Xenopus tropicalis: one gene and its partners. The protein of the gene in region 2 interacts with the protein of the main gene of each other region in a pairwise test. Links are inferred from orthologs where the notes say so. Each region holds a gene or a part of one and is shown on either strand. Other genes may lie near its edges.

Region 1 (5,662 bases), on a different chromosome or scaffold from region 2:
CACTACAATATCCTACCTGCTTTGGCAATGAGAACACAGGAGAGCTACAGCAAACAGTGGAATAACAGCCAGGTGAATAATGCCACACCTATATAACAATGCCCATCTTAAAAATCACTAGCCTCTAGCATGGCATGTGCTGCAGGGCTAGTCAACAAAACCAGAATGCATGTAACATGGCCGAAAGCAAGAAAAAAGTTTAAATGCCCATGAAAATCAAATACATACTATAGCTGCTTAACAGCAATTAGTACATTTATATTTGAATAAAATATTGAGATACCAGCTTGATAACAATTTATACTATTATACTATACAGATAATATTTAATATAACTTTTTAAAGATGCAATGATAGAACAACTTTCAAAGCATTAATCAGGCACTGCATTGTAGGAGTGGCTTTCCATAAGACAAAGAATGAGCTTTATTTAAAAAAATAAAAACAAAGAAAACAAAAGAGTAAGGATAAACCACATTAAAACCACTGGGTAAAGGGTTTGTCACTCCTGGACAGAAATTTTAAAAAAAGCTTTCTGTAAAGCAAAAGTAGAAAATAGGGTATTAGTGTATACAAAATGTTAACCCTTCTATGTAAAGTAACAATGCAGAGCATTCCATTACTAATATACTAATATAAAATATCCTAACATTTAATGAACTGTAAAAGTTCACGGATAATCTGGCAACATACCTTTAACCAAGCAATTGATGCAGAGGAAATCAGAAGTAATAAAAATATCTCAGCAATTAAATGTCACAATGTGGGTATATGGTGTTTTACAGAGCCTTTGTTGTAAAGTCCAAGCATTTGGATATCCAGGAAGCAACATTTCACCACTGATAACGAAAATGGAAGTAAACAATGTTTTTTTGTTTTACTAAATAGCTCAAATTCAACCCAAAACTTAAGGTTTATATAGTGACATTTTAGTCAGGCTGAGATGCTAGAATCCCTTTAAAACACTGTGGAGAGTTTACTGTCACCAGACAAATAAAACAATAAATATTTATTCTCCACATAAACAAGATAAAATATAAAACAATTGTCTGATAGTATTAATTATATAAAGTAAAACCTCAACAAGTGTATAGAAGAAAAAAAAAAGCAAAAGCTTTGTTTAAAAGAAATTTTCAGTTTCTTAATTGCTCAGATTTAGTCACATAATTTGGTACTGTGAAGCTGTGTAATCCTGAATGATGCCAAATACACTATTTTAGCAGAGCTGCAGAGCCAAAGCATCGCCTCTGCCTCCTTACTCCACCCAGTTTCCTCTCTGTCCCTGTTTGACGGCGGTGCGCAGTATCCTTTATTATGAGCCCAAAAAAAAAAAAAAAAACCAGACAAACAACAAAATCGCTTCTATCCAATTGAACACATTGGGAAGCATCTAAACACACACATCTATATTATAAATATTTTAATTATCGAGATAGAAATATAGAAACTATGTTTTCTCTTCCAGAATACTAATGGTTAAGGATAAATTGCACAAGAACCATCAGCAACATGCAAACACAGGGCAGTTTTACAGCACTCAAAGATGAACACGCAACCCATAAAAAAATAAAATAAAACAGGGTTACAAATGCCTAGTCATGATTAAAATTCCTGGCGTAAGCAATATATTGTTCATTTGTTAATCTGAATGCCTTACATAGGCACACATGACAGAGATTTAAAAAAAAAAAACAGCTTTTCTAGAGAAATAACAAAGCATGGATTTAAAGAAAAATAGCACTTATCACCTTTAGAAAACCAAATGAGAGAATGGATGTCAGATTTATAGCAGACTTATTGATCTGCTAAAACATTAGGAGAAAAGATACCCATGTTTTACAAAATAAGTATGAAACATTTGTATCCGGATGACTAGTGCAGGTAATTACCATTAGTTTCAGCCATCATAATTTCCCATGTGTCAATCCCAACTCTTGCTGCAAGCCTTTCAAGTGTCTGACTTGCAACATGTACACACCTATACAGCATCGCATAATACACATAGCCCTTTATGGACTTAACCCATCATCCCTATCCTTGGAGACACCAGGGCATGACAATGTAAATGAATGTTATCATGATGTGAGCACTCAACTATAAAAGTTATATGTCAGAAGACTTAAATGGCAGCACTTGCATGACACAAAAGATGACAAATGTCACTTCTAGGCCCACCCCCCTGTTTTTCTTGATGTTCCGCACAAGAAGAGGCCCTTATGTAATGCTGTTTAGAGATGTAGCCTTGTCCAGATGGTGAAGACATCCCCGTTAGCAAGATGTTGCAGGAAGAATTAAAAATAACATAATACTGGAAAAGGTGCGGGGGCGGGCGTGTACAAACATGGAATGCCCCTGCCACACACGAGTTAAATTGATACACAGCAGTTATCTCGTTAAGGTGAAAGTCCTTTTATTAGTAAACGGCTTATCAAATGAATCAACTGAATCCACATTATATGCTTTTAACTGAAACTATGCATTTATGACACAGAAGTGAAATTGAAATTCATTTCCACAGAAACATTCATGTGCCCCCCAGGCACAGCTGGCTGAAAGTTGCAGTTCAACGACAATTAGTAGGCCACAAACACACACATCACTGCAGCAAAGAATCATATAAATAAGGGCTAGTAAATCATTAATCAAGGGCACAACAGACATCAAACCTGCAGCTCTAAACAAGTGGGGGTACCAGACCATCCCTTGATGCTTATAGCATATACATGTCTGAGGATTCACTGATTGTGATGTCAAAGACGCCCTACCCTATGTTCTCCAGTTGCTGCTGAACTCTAACTCCCACCATCCTTTGACAGCTGGGAAAAATGGTTCTGCAATAGCAGGAGGTGCAGGTTTTATAGCCAAGCTACAGCATTAGTAGGCATGTTGCTGTAATGTACCATTAAGGCGTCTTGTTTAAAGCGATGATCTGGCAAACTGCACCCCCACCCCTCCACAAACAACACCCACAAGCACCCCTATTATAAGCCTTCCAAGCAGAAGACTGGGGGAAGCAGCTCATGAAACAGCTGGGAAGGTGCAAGCAGGAGATCCTTGCCTAAAGCTTTCCTGTTCCACCCCCCTGCGGGCTAGGAACAGTAACGGCTGGCCGCCATTTTGAGAAAGTGAGAGAGAGGAGAAGATGAAGGAGGGAGGGGAGGAGGCGGCGGCAGCAGCAGCAGCAGCCACATCGTCAGACAAGGCCTTGCATCCCGCCTCTCTCCCGCCCGGTGATCTAGCCGGGCACTTACCGTGCAGGGTTATCCCAAGCACACAGCGGGAGAAGGATTTCTTCTCATGGCCGCCGGGCAGCTCCCCTGGGCAAGGTCTCTGGAAGGGCGGGGGATGAGGCTCCCAGTTAGAGCCTGACGAGGTGACAAGAAATCAAATAAATAAAAATAAAGAGCTTGGGTGTGGAGGTCGGCGGGGCTCGCTTGTATGTACGTTGTTTCCTGTCAAATTGCACTGAATCCGTCTTCTCTGCAGCTATTCCTTTCTAAGGGTCCGTGCCTCCCTTTCTTCTCCGTGGTTTCCGCCGGGGCTCTCAGGGAAGCCGCCGCCGCCACCGTGCTGTCAGCGAAACGGAGCTCAGGAGCGCGGTGACGTCATATCAACCGCTGAAGGAGAGGAGGAGGAGGGAGCGACCGGCCGGCTGTGGGGAGTGGGCTTGCTTAATCGGGAACCGCGCCTGCGCCCTAGCGGCGGCTGCCTAGGCGTGGACGAGGAGGGGGAGAGATGGGGAGGGATGACAAAGGCAAATGACGCAGGGAAGGCGGAGAGCGCAGGCGCCATTATGACGGAAGAGGGAGCATGCTTGCCCTTCGCGTTCACGTGAAAGGAGAGTTTGTTTGTGCAATTCCTGCGCTCCCCTGTGTGACAGCTGTCTCTGTGTGCGTGAGAGTCAGTACTCTGTATGTGTGTGTGAGAGAGTCAGTACTCTGTATGTGTGTGTGAGAGAGTCAGTACTCTGTATGTGAGAGAGTCAGTACTCTGTATGCGTGTGAGAGTCAGTACTCTGTATGCGTGTGAGAGAGTCAGTACTCTGTATGTGTGTGAGAGAGTCAGTACTCTGTATGTGAGAGAGTCAGTACTCTGTATGTGTGTGAGAGAGTCAGTACTCTGTGTGTGTGAGAGAGTCAGTACTCTATGTGTGTGAGAGAGTCAGTACTCTATGTGTGTGAGAGAGTCAGTACTCTGTATGTGAGAGAGTCAGTACTCTGTATGTGTGTGAGAGAGTCAGTACTCTGTATGTGTGTGAGAGAGTCAGTACTCTGTATGTGTGTGAGAGAGTCAGTACTCTGTATGTGTGTGAGAGAGTCAGTACTCTGTGTGTGTGTGAGAGAGTCAGTACTCTATGTGTGTGAGAGAGTCAGTACTCTATGTGTGTGAGAGAGTCAGTACTCTGTATGTGAGAGAGTCAGTACTCTGTATGTGTATGTGAGAGAGTCAGTACTCTGTATGTGTGTGTGAGAGAGTCAGTACTCTGTATGTGTGTGTGAGAGAGTCAGTACTCTGTATGTGTGTGTGAGAGAGTCAGTACTCTGTATGTGTGTGAGAGAGTCAGTACTCTGTATGTGTGTGAGAGGTTGGGAGTCAGTACTCTGTATGTGTGTGAGAGAGTCAGTACTCTGTATGTGTGTGAGAGAGTCAGTACTCTGTATGTGTGTGAGAGAGTCAGTACTCTGTGTGTGTGTGAGAGAGTCAGTACTCTATGTGTGTGAGAGAGTCAGTACTCTATGTGTGTGAGAGAGTCAGTACTCTATGTGTGTGAGAGAGTCAGTACTCTGTATGTGTGTGAGAGAGTCAGTACTCTGTATGTGTGTGAGAGAGTCAGTACTCTGTATGTGTGTGAGAGAGTCAGTACTCTGTATGTGTGTGAGAGAGTCAGTACTCTGTATGTGTGTGAGAGAGTCAGTACTCTGTGTGTGTGTGAGAGAGTCAGTACTCTATGTGTGTGAGAGAGTCAGTACTCTATGTGTGTGAGAGAGTCAGTACTCTGTATGTGTATGTGAGAGAGTCAGTACTCTGTATGTGTGTGTGAGAGAGTCAGTACTCTGTATGTGTGTGTGAGAGAGTCAGTACTCTGTATGTGTGAGAGTCAGTACTCTGTATGTGTGTGCGTGAGAGTCAGTACTCTGTATGCGTGAGAGTCAGTACTCTGTATGTGAGAGAGTCAGTACTCTGTATGTGAGAGAGTCAGTACTCTGTATGTGTGTGCGTGAGAGTCAGTACTCTGTATGTGTGTGTGAGAGAGTCAGTACTCTGTATGTGAGAGAGTCAGTACTCTGTATGTGTGTGTGAGAGAGTCAGTACTCTGTATGTGAGAGAGTCAGTACTCTGTATGTGAGAGAGTCAGTACTCTGTATGTGAGAGAGTCAGTACTCTGTATGTGTGTGCGTGAGAGTCAGTACTCTGTATGTGTGTGCGTGAGAGTCAGTACTCTGTATGTGTGTGAGAGAATCAGTACTCTGTGAGAGCGTCAGTACTCTGTATGTGTGTGAGAGAGTCAGTATTCTGTATGTGTGTGTGAGAGAGTCAGTATTCTGTATGTGTGTGAGAGAGAGTCAGTATTCTGTATGTGTGTGAGAGAGTCAGTATTCTGTATGTGTGTGTGTGTGTGAGAGAGTCAGTACTCTGTATGTGTGTGAGAGAGTCAGTACTC
Region 2 (5,832 bases):
TCTATCTCACTCTCCTAGAGAATGCTCTTAAAAGAGTAACTATCTAACTGGTCCTTGTGCACGGGGTCCCTGTCCCCGACTTCTCTAGAGTATAAGATGGTAACCCTAGGGCAATAAGACTTTACTGGGGCCTTGTTCTGATCCCAGGCTAGTGACCTGTTCCTGAGACACAGAGGAAGCCACACACTCCTGCTAAGCACTATTTTGGAGTGCAAGGGGTGTGATCAACCAAATAAAGCAATAAGGTATAATAGCAAAGGATAAACTAGATACATGGGTCTTTTCCCAGTAACAGCATAAACTAAGGAAGTAGTAGGGTTTAAAGCAATAGGGGCAGATTAACCCTATGGGTCCCTACAAGTGCTTTTGATGGGTGAGGATAAGTAGATAGATTACTGTATGAGAACTAGGGGGCCTCACAGTGGCTTACAGCTGTGGCACTGAATGATAGAGGTTTGGGCAATGGGCAAACTGCAGTAAGCAGATACTACACAAATATCTTGTTCTTCGGGTGCTGCAAATTAACATACTCTTGCTCTGTATTTCCACATGCTTTATTGGTTTCTTCTTCTCAAAATACTTACATATAAGCCCTATATGCATGTTCTCTGGTTCTAAGCCTATCTATGACCCTAACTACATACAAACATGCTGGGACCTACTCTCATAGCACTAAATCTTCTGTAGCTCCTAACAGTCCAGCTCCTGCATGCTTCATATGTAACTCCGCCTAGACCAGTGATCCCCAACCAGTGGCTGGTGAGCAACATGATTCTCACCAACCCCTTGGATGTTGCTCTCAGTGCCTGCAAACCAGGTAGTTATTTTTGAATTTCTGACTTGGCAAGTTTAGGTTGAATAAAAAAAGATTTACTACCAAATAAAGCCCCCTGTAACTGATAGTGTGCATAGAGACTACCTAATAGCCAATCTTGGCCTTTATTTTGTCTTCTTACATTTGACTGTGGCTCACGAGTAAGAAAGGTTGGGGAGCCCTGCACTAGACACTCAATCAGCACTAACTCACTATAGCCTTTTTGGAGTCTTTATTTTGCCCTATTCAGCTTGCTGCTTTCTGACTGGCTTATCCCAACAAATACTATTTTTGGATTCTAAGCTAATATACTCCTAACAGCATACTTTGATACTAGTTTTTCAAATGCTCTGCATGGTTCCCTATTCCACCATTTGTTAATTACAGCTCAACTAAATTTTCCCAGTATGCCCTATTTAGGGCCATGGCAGACGGGGAGATTAGTTGGCCGCGACAAATCTCCTCGAAATACCAACCCAACGGCAAGAATGTAAATCGCCGGTGGGATCACATACGCAGCACGGGGTTTCGGGGCCGCGTATGCGATTTACATTCTCGCTGGTGGGATGGCATTTCGGGGAGATTAGTCGCCCGCGACAAGGGAGATTTGTCGCGGGTGACTAATCTCCCCGTCTGCCACGGTTTAGAGCTGTGACACACTGGGAGATTAGTCGCGTCTGGAATGCCATCCCACCGACTAGAATGTAAATCGCCGGTGGGATGGCATACACGGCGCCGCAATTTGCTGAAGTTTCCTCTCAAGGAAACTTCGGCAAACCGCGGAGCTGCGCATGCCATCCCACCGGCGATTTACATTCTAGGATGACATTCGACCAATCTCCCCGTGTGTCATGGCCCTTAGGGTTTCTCCAAGGCAAGTTATATTGTTCTATCCCTGCCTGCCATCCTTACCACTGCTAGGCTGATCTTTTATATTGTTATAGGCCAGCATGCCTTGCCCAGGGTTTCTGGGCTACTCTCCATATTGCCCAGCCCCCCCCCCCCCATGCCATTCTTACAGCTCCTTTGCGCCTACATATACCGGCCAATCCCAGAATGCCCTGCTTATAACCAGCTACTCTTCATATTGCCTTTCCATCCAGATCTGGTGACCTAGTACCGAGATTAAGGTTTGTTCCTTTTCCCACTGCATTGTACCGTCCTCCGGAATACGCTGGCGCTATATAAATAATAATACTCCAAGTACTGCAATACCTTACTGCTAGCTACCTGCTCTATACCGGACACACAGCTCCCCCACCCCCCAGGCAAGGCTGTTTAGCTATATGCACCTGCTGCAGTATAAGGAGCCCCTCTCACACAGCGCTCCCACACGCTCTATAAGATAGCGCTCCCACACGCTCTATAAGATAGCGCTCCCACACGCTCTATAAGATAGCGCTCCCACACGCTCTATAAGATAGCGCTCCCACACGCTCTATAAGATAGCGCTCCCACACGCTCTATAAGATAACGCTCCTCGACCGTGAGAGGAAAAGGCGGCGCTGGGCAGCACCATCTCTCCGGACGGATCCACCTAGTTTGGCGTGTGGCTCCTCCCAGGAAGCAGTGACAGGCTTGTTTCAGCAGCTCCTCTCCATCCCTCCGCTCTGTGAGTGTGAGAGTGTCTTATTATTCCTCTCAATGCAGCTGCCATACAGGCAGAGCCCAAGCATGTCCTACTGCAAGCCGCCCCCGCCTCCTCTCTCATAGCACCGCAAGCCGCACACCTTCTGGGCTCGGGCGGGACCGCCGCATGCTGGGCTCGGCTCTGGGAGAAGCAGCAAGGTGGGAAGAACGGGGAGCTCTGTGCAATATACAAGAGAAAAGGAAACATGGCGAGCGACTCCCCGGCTCGTAGCTTGGATGAGATAGATCTGTCGGCGCTGAGGGTGAGTGATGTCTCTGGGGGGTTATTGTGGGAAGCTGCTGCTGCTGCTGCGGGGGATCCGGGCTGATAGGCTCTTTATTGTGCCAGTCCTAGGGGCGAGATGGAGAGCTGTCTATTCAGCCCGCACTGTGCTGCTCACTGATATGTGATTATTATACACAATAATGCTCATTCATCTGGTTTGCTGCTGTCAGTGCTCTCCTATTGTGAATGGAATAGCCATAGCAGAACAGTGTGTGAATAACAGGCACAAAGCCACTCATCATTATATCGCATTTGGTGAGCCACTTACACATAAAGATGTACATAGAAACCGAGTATATTCAGCCTAAAACGCAATATTAGCATTATGCATTCATGTGATCATCTCAGGAGTGGGGCGGACTATTAACAAGTAGGGGAAGGGGTCAATTTCTATGTATATCTGCTGAATGTGCACATAGAGGCTGTTGGGCAAATCAATTCATTGCTGTATTGAATGGTCGATGGCTAAACATCACAGCAATGCTTGCCTACCGCTGCGCTGCCTTCATTTCCCATTATCAGTGTCTGCTTTTGCCTCAGTCAGTACAGTGCAATAGGCTGTGGGGGATGCTGGAAGTTGTAGTTCAGCCGGCACTGGAGGGCCCCAGGTACATCACTGCTACAAGGCACATCAGGGTTTCTCATTGCTTCATGTCTTTATATAATGCCATTCTTCTGTTTTGTATGTATGCTATTAAATTTTGAAAGACACCGCCATGTATAAAGGCCACACTGACAAAGGCCACATTGTTGTGGGGAGCAATTTAGTATTCTCATTGGTGATTTATATGGAAGATTGGATTTAGCCTAGAGATCCAGTGCAAAAGGAGAGAATGCTCTTTGAATTCTACCACCAATCAAGCCCTTCTTGCAGTAGAGTTCCTAAGACAATAAGGTTGATGGCATAGTAACCGGACAATTCTCAGGTCAATAGGCTACTTTAATAATGGTAGATAATCGTAGATTTTTGTCGCTGCTATGTGCCAACTCTTACATTGGGAGCATATTTGGTTTAAATTGACTCCTTCCTCATTCCACTGTTTGTTGAGGAGCTATCTGTTTTCATTATCCACTGTACAACATACCAGCCATTGTTAGTTAAAGGGTGCCATGTTCGCTTTGGAAAAAGCATGTATATATACAAGTGGAATGCACGTAAGATAGCAGCAGTTTCTGGTCTGCAGGCACTTGCAACTCAGGCTTCCTAAAATGACCTGTGCTAATGAGGGCTGTGCTGTGCTAGCTGTCATGTTCACATGGTGTCTGTAAGAAACAGCATTCTTTGTATGGCTGGATGTGCTAGACTATTGTACAGTCAGCGAGATTAAGGATGGACATGGCTCGTAGGGCTGTTTAAATTGAGAGTCTTATGTCTGCTTCAGTGCTCGTGCTTGCTGGTTTTATCTCAAGCCTAAACAGAAATATAAAGTCAGTGGACCCATCATATCATTTGAATTAAACATATCTTTCTTAAATAATATCCTGCTTGTGTATCTGACTCTGCAAGTTTAAATAAATCCTTCAGGCTTTAGATGGATGCAATCTCTATTATGTTTTCAAGCTGTTTGTATTATGAATGTATGGGGCAAATCCACAAAGCATTAACCCTTTTATGTCTAAGGCAGCACGCCTTATGCTGTAGTTGTTTCAATCCAATTTTTGCTATTCTTAGAGGAAAACAATTTATGATCGTAGTGGAAGGTCAGAAACCATATTGATGGTATGAAGGTTTCCCAGTCATTTCACAGTGCCTGGATGGGGAATCAATAGTGCATTGGCTGCCTGAGTGGAAAGGATAGCAGCGCTTAGAGGTTTTTCTGGATTGCCATTAGTTCTTTTCCCTGCTGGCTTACCTTGAGATTCCTGTCAAGGGTCAAGTCTGTTGCAGAAACAACCTTGGGCACTGGACCTGTCCAAACAGAGCCTGACGAGGACAGCTTGTTTTATTTCTGCAGCGGGCCTGTCAAATGTTTGATGCTGTGAAGGCAGCCAAGGGCTCCAGAGTCACACACTCCCTTCAACTGCTTTTTAGCCACAATTTGCCACCCTTTATTGGACATAGCTGAATTTATGATGGTTCTCTTAAACATATTATTAAGGTATATTTTAGTATTTTATGCAATCCTTAATTTGGATTTAAATGAGCAATGTGCTGTTCTTGGCATTCAACAAAAAGCCAGCAGGTAGCATTCTGTATTATTTCACCCAGCACATATTGTGCTATTTAGCATTTCAAATCAATGCTTTGAAATCACAGGCTTGATTGAGGACTGTTAACCCATTTGCCACCAAAAAGGGCTGCTTGTGTCTTATAAGGAAAATTCAATTTCAGCAGAAGAAATTTGTTATACAGTATATACTATCAGTTTTGTCATGATGTTAAAACAATATATTTTGTCCCTGTTAGCTTGCGGTTGTGCCCTACTTTCAGTGTAAGCAATGCATATTTCCACAACGCCATTGAAGCTTGTTTTCCATTTATTTTGTGTGTGTGTATTCAACAGCTACTGTTGTTCATTTAGTCTAGTTGTTTATAAGTAGGCAAGGCAACTTCTGATTATAGAATTTGGGGGGTGACATTGTCAGTGTTTTATAAGACAGTCATTTAGGGTGATTATATGATCATACACTCCATATCTATCATAAGTTATGCAGTACAGGTATAGGACCCATTATCCAAAATGCTCGGGACCAAGGGTATTCCGGATAAGGGGTCTTTCTGTAATTTGGATCTCCATACCTTAAGTCTACTAAAAAATCATTAAACCATTAATTAAACTCTATAGGATTGTTTTGCATCCAATAAGGATTATTTATATCTTAGTTTGGATCAATTACAAAGTATTGTTTTATTACTACAGAGAAAAAGCAAATCAGTTTTAAAATTTGTAATTATTTGATTAAAATGGAGTCTATGGGAGACAGGCTTTCTGGATAATGGGTTTCTGGATAAGGGATCCCATACCTGTACTTGGTCACCATTTCTATTATGTTGTTTTCTGCGCTTACTTGTGGACATTGTTGATGGGACTGTGCAGAGTTTTTGTCCTTGACGTGATACAATGTGGCCAGTAAAGCTTTACCTTATGATGAAGTGCAGCAC
Region 3 (5,582 bases), on a different chromosome or scaffold from region 2:
AGCTTAAATAACATTGGACGGTGCTTGTGCTTTACAGTATCTTACCCCCAGTAACATATGGTGATCCAGGGTCTGAAGGTCAAAGGAACATGGAATGTAAAAAAAAACAAATTGTCCGCATATTTGCAAATACTGAGTCTGTGCAATGGCTGGCTAACATGCTTTAGTGGCTGTCTAAATACAGAAAACCCCTGATCTCTCACAGCATTAATAAAATATCAAAAATAAAATAAAATACATACCCACTGTTTACTTCCCACAGTTCAAAAACTTTCCCTGCAAACTCCCTGAATTCTATATAACAAAAGAACCAGTAGCACTTGAACACTTTGTAAATTGTTGGAGAGGTGTACTCTGCCTATTGGTGTTGTGGAACAACAACACTATACATTGGCACCAATAGGTCTTTGCACAACTATAAGGTTGATTAGCATTTTTTAAAATTTGCACTATAAGTTTGATTGAGGTGTGTTTACTAATCAGAATTGAGAAATTACTACACTACATATATATTTTTTTCTCTCTTTCTTTCTTTACCTCTTTTCTCTCTTCTTTCTTTGCTCTTTTTCTTCCCTTCCCTGCACATTTGCACCGGTTCACAGCATTAATAAGACTGCTACCATCCCCTCGATGTCTAAATACATTCGGTTTCTGTAACCCTTTTATTGAAAGTGATAAAGCTACCAACTGTAAACGGAACTTAAACACTGTTTTTCAGTAAAATGTATTCTCACTGTAAGCACACTGCCTCCAGTATCTGCATATTTGTATTTATACCCATGAGTAATTACTGCAATATTGCTTGTCAACAATAGCAACAGTAACCATAGTGGTCATACGCAGATCTCTTTTCTGTAGAGCTACTTCTGAGTTCAAGCCCATCACATATGGGATAATTCTTTATGTTTACCTTAATGGAACATAATATGAAGCCTCCTACAAACACTAGCTAAAAAATACGCTTTGATGCTATATACAAAGGTACTTGAACCCATAAACACTCCTTTGCATCTTGAAAAGAACACCAGTGTGCCCATTCAACCTGTTCTGACTCTGCACAAATGAACTGTACAAAATAATTCCAGGGTTCTCTTATAGGTTTTGTGAGCTAAATTACTATGAGCTAAAATTCCTCCTCATACAGCGATCACATATTGCTTTGTCAGAGGGGCCCACTGGGAGTTCTGGGAGTGCTCAAATAACTGGAATGTAAGAGGTGGGTAGAGACATCATCAATAAATACAGTTCAGATAGAGTAAGTACCGTTGCATTAAAGTAGTTCTGGTAAGAGTAATGGTACCTATATGATGCACCATATTCACAGCAGGGATTGGCCCTTGCTAAATGTTTTCAATGCAAAAACATTAGATGATTGGTTTGCATTGTAAACCAACAGCAATAACAGAGCATAAAGGTAAACTTGACAGATGTGTCTTTGTCTAACCTCAACTACTATATATCCAAAGTCATGCTATTGTTATAGTATACCATTTAAATTTTAGAGACAAAATAACTTTTTTAAGTAATAATTACAATTTAAAGAAAATATTACACTTAAATACCACGTTGTAAGAAAAGATTTCTCATTATAAGGACATGTGCTGGTTAAGTATAGCTCACATGCTAGATTGTCTTTGTTCTGTCTGTTTTGCACACAATGCCTTGGTGTGGGCAGTGCCCCTTTAAGTGTCTGGGAACTGCAGCAGCGCAACAGCAGCTGTCAACTCCTAGTTCTGCCACTGCTGCAATCGGTGCCGCCCCCACTGACTTCTCTCGCCGCTGCCGGGCGCTGGGGTGACGTCAGAGGAGTGCGCCGAATGTTTACGTGGAGATGGGAGAGAGCGGTAGGCGCTGTAGCTAACGCTGCGCATTGCTGTGTGTGTCTGTACAGGCGCAGGCATGGAGGAGGAGGACCAGGAGAGGAAGAGGAAGCTGGAGGCCGGCAAGGCTAAGGTAAGGGAATGTGGGGAGGCTTTGTGTCTGTGTGTGTGTCTCCCTCTGACAGCTGTCACTGGGGAAGGGGGGCTTCCATTGTTTGCATATTCCTGGCGTGCTGTGTCTGTGCGAGCTGTCCCGCCGCCCTGTTTGTCTGGGTGCCACCCTGCCATTCTGATGTGTCTATGTCACTGGCTCCATGTGTCACCTTCCAACCTCCTGTGTGTGTGTATGGCACCTTACAGCATTCTGTCCATGTGTCACCTTCCAACCTCCTGTGTGTGTGTATGGCACCTTACAGCATTCTGTCCATGTGTCACCTTCCAACCTCCTGTGTGTGTGTATGGCACCTTACAGCATTCTGTCCATGTGTCACCTTCCAACCTCCTGTGTGTGTGTATGGCACCTTACAGCATTCTGTCCATGTGTCACCATCCAACCTCCTGTGTGTGTGTATGGCACCTTACAGCATTCTGTCCATGTGTCACCTTCCAACCTCCTGTGTGTGTGTATGGCACCTTACAGCATTCTGTCCATGTGTCACCTTCCAACCTCCTGTGTGTGTGTATGGCACCTTGCAGCATTCTGTCCATGTGTCACCATCCAACCTCCTGTGTGTGTGTATGGCACCTTACAGCATTCTGTCCATGTGTCACCATCCAACCTCCTGTGTGTGTGTATGGCACCTTACAGCATTCTGTCCATGTGTCACCTTCCAACCTCCTGTGTGTGTGTATGGCACCTTACAGCATTCTGTCCATGTGTCACCTTCCAACCTCCTGTGTGTGTGTATGGCACCTTACAGCATTCTGTCCATGTGTCACCATCCAACCTCCTGTGTGTGTGTATGGCACCTTACAGCATTCTGTCCATGTGTCACCATCCAACCTCCTGTGTGTGTGTATGGCACCTTACAGCATTCTGTCCATGTGTCACCATCCAACCTCCTGTGTGTGTATGGCACCTTACAGCATTCTGTCCATGTGTCACCATCCAACCTCCTGTGTGTGTGCATGGCACCTTACAGCATTCTGTCCATGTGTCACTATCCAACCTCCTGTGTGTGTATGGCACCTTACAGCATTCTGTCCATGTGTCACCATCCAACCTCCTGTGTGTGTGTATGGCACCTTACAGCATTCTGTCCATGTGTCACCTTCCAACCTCCTGTGTGTGTGTATGGCACCTTACAGCATTCTGTCCATGTGTCACTATCCAACCTCCTTTGTGTGTGTATGGCACCTTACAGCATTCTGTCCTTGTGTCACCATCCAACCTCCTGTGTGTGTGTATGGCACCTTACAGCATTCTGTCCATGTGTCACCATCCAACCGCCTGTGTGTGTATGGCACCTTACAGCATTCTGTCCATGTGTCACCATCCAACCTCCTGTGTGTGCATGGCACCTTACAGCATTCTGTCCATGTGTCACTATGCCTTGCCATTAGCCACATTGTGCACATGTCACCCAAACATTCTACCTATGAGCCACCTTGTGCATGTATCACTCTATGTACCCTGGGGCCTTGTACCATTCCCTTCACTTGTGCATGTCTCTGTGCATCATTGTGGTACTTGCTTCACATCACTTTGCTGCTTGGTGCAACTGGTTTCTTGTGTCTCTGTGTGCTTTTGGTGTGTCTGGATCCTGTTTGCCTATTATGTTAAGTGCAGTGTATGTTTCACTTTGTGGTATTATATGTTTGTGTGCAGCTTCTGTGTCAGTATGTGCACAAAATGATACACATTCAGTGGAATACTTAATAGTTTTTAAACCCTCAACTATACAAATTGACTTCTATTTAGAATGTGTATCGTGCTTAAATCACTTTTTTTATCGGTGTTAATTTTACATGTATACCATGGGTAAGTGTTGTAGGGTGCGTAATTGTGTATCTGTTGAAGAGAAATACTTAAAAATAAACACACATTTATACCCACATATATGCCAAATGGCAGGTACATAGAATGTATGTGTACTTAAATAACTTTTTTCATTGGTGTAAGGTTTTTTGCATGCCATGGATTAGTGTTGTAGTGTGTGCATACAGAATATAGGTGCGAGTGTATGTACTTGTGTGTCTGTTTTCTTCCTATTTAGGTATACTTTTAATCAAGACACATTTATACCCACAACTGTATAAAATGGCTTGTATTTGGAAAGTGTATTTTGCTTAAATCACTTTTTCCATTGGTGTCAATTTCACATGTATACCATGGGTTACTGTTGTAGTGTTTGCATTCTGAATATAAATATGTGTATTTTTTCTTGCTGCAGAGCAACACATACCCACAGCTGTATAAAATAGTATATATTTTTGCATTGTGCATAAAGCACCCATGTCTATGCCAGGAGTTAGTGTGTGTGTGTGTGTGCCCATAAACAGTGCATGTTATTGCATGTCAGTGTAACAATAAATTATGCTCCCATATTTACCGTTTACTGCTTTCTGTGCTTCTTGGGTTAAATGCCTGTTTTTATTCGCTGAAAGTGTTGTGTATTCAGTGCAGCTACTTTGTAACACTGTATAGTTGTGCATATTTGCTAAAAGGACAATGTGTATGTGTTTTACGAAAGCATAAATCGTATATAGCCCTTCTCCTTTTTTATATTCATGTTCACTGTTAAACTCATGAATCTCTGAACAGGTGTAAGCATGTGTTGGTGCCTTTTTGGCTCTTTGTGGGACAGCTGCAGCACAGGGACGGCTGCTTAGATTTCAGCAGGATTAACATGTAACACTTTTCCAACATTGCTGAGTGCTCTTATTCACTATATGTAGAAGTCTGCCTACTTCTTTGTCTTTATTGATTGCTAATGTCTGTTTTTGCTGATCTGTCATTCTTTTGGATAAATTGAATTTGTTAGATTTTCTGAAAGTTTATGTCACTGAACTTTTCTAAAAACTGAATTACAAACTGCCTGCTTTCATTGCAATCATCTGTTTAGTGTAATTTACACCTTGTGTTCTAGCTAAGACTTATTTTAGCTTTTTTGATAGGAAAAAAACAGCTGATATTTTTTTGTAAACAATTCCAATTAAGGTCTAAAATCATTTAAAGGGGAACTCCACCCAAACACAATGTAAGGTTTATGAAAAGTAAACATAATTTCAAGCAACTTTGCAATATACATTATTATTATGCTGCCTTTTCTTAAATTTAATGTAATAATATGGATGACTACTTTGAGACTCAAATAAAATGTAACAGTAGTCTACTGTCTTTAGCCTGCCTTCTGCCTACATCCTCCTAATACCACAATCCCCTAAACACATGATGTCAATAAGGAAAGGGACATCACAGTGCAATGCATTGTGGGCTATGTAGTTAATGCATGCTGTCTGTAAACTGGAGAACTGTTTTACAGCTGGATTTCAGCATATAAATATAATAGGTGTATTAGGGATCTCTGTGTTGTGTTGTGTGGCACTCTAACAAATTTTGGTTCAGAAGCAAGAGTTCCCCATACTAAAAGCTATTTATGACGTGTATAACTGTTTCCCAACTGAGCAGCAATGCAGTTCACTGTTGCAATGATGTTTATTGTTTTTATTAACTGTGATCATGGTGGGCAGAATATCATTTGTGTGCATCAGTGTGCCACTGCTGGGAAAGATACAAATATAACATGTTATAAAACTGTT
Region 4 (5,030 bases), about 48 Mb from region 2:
CTATCTATCTATCTATCTATCATCTATCTATCTATCTATCTATCTATCTATCTATCTATCATCTATCTATCTATCTATCTATCATCTATCTATCTATCTATCTATCTATCTATCTATCTATCTATCTATCTATCTATCATTTATCTCTATCTATCTATCTATCTATCTATCTATCTATCTATCTATCTATCTATCCATCCAATCCCTAGAATAAGCAAGAGACAAAGAGAACATGTATCAACCCCACAAAACCCCTTGCTACATACAGAGGAACATAGTTCCACTACTCCAATGCTTTTATCTTTGTGGACCTTTCAGACACATCTGACACATCTTAAAACGATCCATTATATCTACCAGTAGAAGCACCTTCAGAAGATAGTCTCACAATGATGTAGTTCTACAATAGTTCTAGAATGTACAGTTTCTGGGCAGTTTCTGACTGAAACCCATTTGATCCCGTTGGTTCCGGCAGGAAGCCCTAAAGAGAGCCCTAGACACGGAGCAGCAGCTTGCGGAGAAGAAGGAGGTGTGTAACGAGACCATGTTGGCCCTCTGGGAGGAGTGCAAGCCCTGCCTGAAACAGACCTGTGTGAGGTTCTACTCCAAAACCTGCCGGAGCGGCTCTGGCCTGGTGGGGCGCCAGGTAAGTCTGACACCTGTCTGTAGTCTGTCCGAATGCGTTGCTATTGGGTGGTACCACCAGGGAACCTTCAACTCACTGTTCTTTCCTGGTCCACCATAAGGGGGTCTATCTTCTCTCCTGGTCCACCATAAGGGGGCCTGTCTTCTCTCCTGCTCCACCATGAGGGAGTCTGTCTTCTCTCCTGGTCCACCATAAGGTGGGCCTGTCTTCTCTCCTGGTCCACCATAAGGTGGGCCTGTCTTCTCTCCTGGTCCACCATAAGGTGGGCCTGTCTTCTTTCCTGATCCATCATAAGTGGTCTTTAGGGTCCTTAGAAGTAAGATGCCCTAATGTTCAGCATGTAGGAAGGCCATAAGACAATAAATGGAGCCCACAGCTCTATTATTGGACAGGAGGACACCCCCCTGTGATTGGGAATAATACCTAGCTAAGAACTTCTTGTAGTGGCCCTCAGGAAGACAAGAAAGCCATGGTGGAGGCAGATAAGTGAGGCCAGCTGGTTGGGTGGAGTAGAGAGCTCACTGGACCACCAGGTATCTCCTGGTAAGGTAAGGAGACCAGAGCCTTGGATGCAAGGGTGCTGCTAGAGGTTGTGTTGTACCATCAGCTGGGGGACCACCCAGGCCTATAACTCGCTCATTCCACATTTCTCTTTCCTGTTGCAGTTTGAGGAATTCCTGAACCAATCTTCTCCATTCTCCATTTTAATCAATGGACAGCAGATCAACTCGCTGACCCAGGAGGGAGAGCAGCAGTCTATGACCCTGGATGACCTTGAGGGGGGCTACAGTCTGGTGGAGGACAGTGTCGATGAGCTCTTCAGGGAAAGCATCAAAGCCTTTGGGCAAATGAAGCCGTTCTTCAGTAATTCCTTCCATAGTGACTTCTTTGGGTCTCAGTGGAACCCATTTCCCTTCCAGCGAGTCGGGTTCCCATTTGCTGAGTCTCGGCGGGCAAGGTCTCCCTCGTTCCACCCCTATTTCTCTGGGGACTTCGAGTCCCTCTTAGAGGCTGCACAGAAAATGATGGAAAGAAGTCACCACTTTGCCCCAAGGCTGGAAGGACTGGGCTCCATAAGGGGTAAGTATTATACTGTGTGCCATCTCCCAGGGTTCCCCAATGTATCACTCATTCCCCCTCTCTGGGTAGGGAACCCCATAACCTGACTGCCCTTACAGTAAGGAACCCCTTCCTATGCTGATAGTGAGATCCCCTTTCCTCCCCACCCCCAATGTATCACTCATTCCCCCTCTCTGGGTAGGGAACCCCATAACCTGACTGCCCTTACAGTAAGGAACCCCTTCCTATGCTGCTGGTGACATCCCCTTTCCTCCCCCCCCCCCAATGTATCACTCATTCCCCCTCTCTTGGTAGGGAACCCCATAACCTGACTGCCCTTACAGTAAGGAACCCCTTCCTATGCTGATGGTGAGATCTCCTTTCCTCCCCACCCCCAATGAATGTTGTTTCCTATGTAGGAAATGGCGATGAATCCGATGACAAACTGGTCTGTAAGGAGTTGCGTCGCAATTCAGCCGGCTGTTTAAAGATGCAGGAAAAGTGTGAGAAATGCAAGGAGATTTTAGCATTAGGTAAGTAGGTTACATTGTAGATAAGTACTGACAAGTACATTCATGAATGCTCTTATTTGTGGAAATGCATTGAGCCCCAGAAATAGATGAACGGACCTGCTGCAATACCGCATTCTGCCAGCAGATGGCCAAGGCCAAGGCATTTATTTTTTGCCAGTGTTGCCCACTATTTCCCTTATAGTATAATTGTAATAATGATGTCATGTGTAGCAGCCTGATGATGTCATGGGCATGGCGGGGGGTCCATACACATCTCTGGGGGCCACACCGGGGCCTTGAGACACTCATTCAAAAACATGTTTCTTAATTTAATGAAATCTATGAAGTTTTTTACTTTCCGTTTGATCACATGGGGCTCATTATCTGGATGTTAGATTGTTCCGGGAAGGATCCGGTGCAGGAGCAGCTGCAGGAGGTGTTTCAGGACTCCCTGCGCCTCGCCGAGAGGTTCACCAGGGAGTACGACGACCTCTTGGAACAGTTCCGGGAGAAGATGCTCAACACCACCGGTATCTTGGAGCAGCTGAACAAGCAGTTTGGGTGGCTTTCCAAATTCACCAACATGACCCAGGGCAGAAAGAATGGGATCTTCCAAGTTTCCACTGTAAGTGGTGCATTGTGTTATTCCTCCAATGGCCGGGGTGTGGTGGCTTCCTGGTACCAAGGACCTTCTGGGCACCTTGGCAAGTTCAACAGAGACATTTTGAATGTGGCTAAAGGTTCTCTCTCAGGGCCACAAAGCCAGAGGTCCTAGAGTTACTTGGGATTTGAGCCCTACTTCCTGTATATCAGGTAACTGTAATGGACCCAATGGGCTCACTGGGCAGAACCATTTTCCTAAATCAAGTGCATCACCACTGAGCAGTTGTGGGCCCAAACTGAGCAATGTTCATTTAATGCCCTGATCTTAATACGTGTAGAAAGTCCCACCATGAGCATTAGGTTGGTGGCTTGATGCCCCTTTGGAGACCTTCAGAAAGCCAACACTGTGTCCCGTCTCTTGCCTTCTGCCCCTTTCCACTCATTCCTTACTTCTCTGTGTTCATTAGATCTATTCCAAGGAAGGGGAGTCTCCTTCCGATACCAAAGTGACCATCAACGTCTTTGACTCTGACCCAAACTGAGCAATGTTCATTTAATGCCCTGATCTTAATACGTGTAGAAAGTCCCACCATGAGCATTAGGTTAAGGGCTTGATGCCCCTTCGGAGACCTTCTACACTATGGCCCGTCTCTTGCCTTCTGCCCCTTTCCACTCATTCCTTACGTCTCTATGTTCATTAGATCTATTCCAAGGAAGGAGAGTCTCCTTCCGACACCAAAGTGACCGTCAACGTCTTCGACTCCGACCCAATAACCTTCGCTTTGCCCGGATACATCTCCATGGATGACCCGAAGTTTGGGGAACTGGTGGCCGAGGAAGCGCTTAAGAGGTTTAAAGCGGAAGCTGTGTAAGTCTTGGCCGATACTTACCTGTAAGCCTGACATGGCAGTGGGCGGCAGTTAGAGGGGCTATTATATCTCAAGGGAAAGTTAAGCAGTAAGGGTCATTGGCCATTGATGAATACTAGCACAGCCAGCCATGTTTTCCATCAGGAAACCAATCAGGGCAGGCAGTTTGCATCCTGGTGGAAATTAAGATGAGAGTAAGTGGGGGTCTCCCATGGGCACCTATACAGTACAGACCTACAGTACATTGTTTGGGGGGTATAGTTTGCCTTTAAATGCTATTAGCAAAGGTTCTCTCACCCATAAACACTACCTGAACCTTGCACTGAGTGCCACCCAGTTAACCTGTTGATGTTAACCTGGTGGTCCTGTTACTCATACCCTACCTGTACATGGAAACTTATTGCCCCCCCGTTACTCTTTGCAGTGAGGCTGCCTGACCCGACACCGGTGGGATTTGCTTCGGCCCCATCGGCGGCTTCTTCCTGCCACTTCCGTAGAACAGGTCCGCGACCCCTATGGCAACGCCCCCGAGCAATAGGCAAAGCGTATTGATACCTCCGCTACCTCCTGACGCCAGAGCCCGATACTCTTCATACTGTTCCGTTACTACTGTTACTGCCACATGCTGCTTTTTTTATTATTTTTGTAGGATTCCGACAAATAAATGGCCTGTAATATTGTGTATGGAGAGGCGGGGCCTTTGCTGTGGTCACAGTTCCTGTGGGGAAAGGTTCCTGGATAAAGGATGTATGGAGAGCCATGAGGGACACATCCATATTCCCCCTCTTGATTGGCCTCCGGGCAAGTCACTGGCATCTCCTACACCCATAGGGACACCCAACCCATTCAACTCCATAACTTATTTCCAATTGGTGCATTCTGTTCAACCCTCCAGTGTTCATGATTTGAAGAGTTAACCAATGATCTGATGTTCTCTAGCTTGTAGGAATATCATTGGCCAATGTGGAGGCACCAGGGTCTGGCAAGTTTAGTTGAACCTCTGGGCTCAGGGAAGAGTTGAGGGGTCATTGTCGTACATGTGCGGCTATGGTTTCCCTACATGGTTCCTTGTTTGGTCAGTCCAACGTTGGGCAGGGCTATATCTGATTGGGTGATACCACAATAGGCACTTTGCTCATCATCTCTGCTACACTTGGGTATTATCTAGAACAGGGATCCCCAATGTTTCTTACTTGTGAGCCACAGTCAAATGTAAAAAGACTTGGGGAGCAACACAAGCACCATAAAAGTTCATGGAGGAGCCAAATAAGGGCTGTGATTGGCTATTAGGGGCCTCTATGCACCCTATCAGCTTACAGGGGGCTTTATTTGGTAGGAAAT

What was found.
Region 1: the proteins of tnik (region 2) and pafah1b1 interact in a two-hybrid assay, tested with the Homo sapiens proteins (2 studies listed by BioGRID and IntAct). The link is inferred for Xenopus tropicalis from reciprocal best matches to the Homo sapiens genes TNIK and PAFAH1B1.
Region 3: the proteins of tnik (region 2) and akap9 interact in a two-hybrid assay, tested with the Homo sapiens proteins (2 studies listed by BioGRID and IntAct). The link is inferred for Xenopus tropicalis from reciprocal best matches to the Homo sapiens genes TNIK and AKAP9.
Region 4: the proteins of tnik (region 2) and clu interact in a two-hybrid assay, tested with the Homo sapiens proteins (2 studies listed by BioGRID and IntAct). The link is inferred for Xenopus tropicalis from reciprocal best matches to the Homo sapiens genes TNIK and CLU.

The regions. Positions count from the first base shown.
Region 1 is NC_030678.2:47,815,571-47,821,232, reverse strand, and holds the start of pafah1b1 (lissencephaly-1 homolog), read right to left. Parts: upstream 3,538-5,662; 5' UTR 3,252-3,537; intron 1-3,251. UniProt on the Homo sapiens protein: Regulatory subunit (beta subunit) of the cytosolic type I platelet-activating factor (PAF) acetylhydrolase (PAF-AH (I)), an enzyme that catalyzes the hydrolyze of the acetyl group at the sn-2 position of PAF and its analogs and participates in PAF inactivation.
Region 2 is NC_030681.2:111,487,171-111,493,002, forward strand, and holds the start of tnik (TRAF2 and NCK-interacting protein kinase), read left to right. Parts: upstream 1-2,162; 5' UTR 2,163-2,649; coding exon 2,650-2,706; intron 2,707-5,832. UniProt on the Homo sapiens protein: Serine/threonine kinase that acts as an essential activator of the Wnt signaling pathway. Recruited to promoters of Wnt target genes and required to activate their expression. May act by phosphorylating TCF4/TCF7L2.
Region 3 is NC_030682.2:31,454,869-31,460,450, forward strand, and holds the start of akap9 (A-kinase anchor protein 9), read left to right. Parts: upstream 1-1,745; 5' UTR 1,746-1,899; coding exon 1,900-1,953; intron 1,954-5,582. UniProt on the Homo sapiens protein: Scaffolding protein that assembles several protein kinases and phosphatases on the centrosome and Golgi apparatus. Required to maintain the integrity of the Golgi apparatus. Required for microtubule nucleation at the cis-side of the Golgi apparatus.
Region 4 is NC_030681.2:159,884,827-159,889,856, reverse strand, and holds the end of clu (clusterin), read left to right. Parts: intron 1-475; coding exon 476-646; intron 647-1,311; coding exon 1,312-1,726; intron 1,727-2,124; coding exon 2,125-2,238; intron 2,239-2,612; coding exon 2,613-2,842; intron 2,843-3,287; coding exon 3,288-3,362; 3' UTR 3,363-3,379; downstream 3,380-5,030.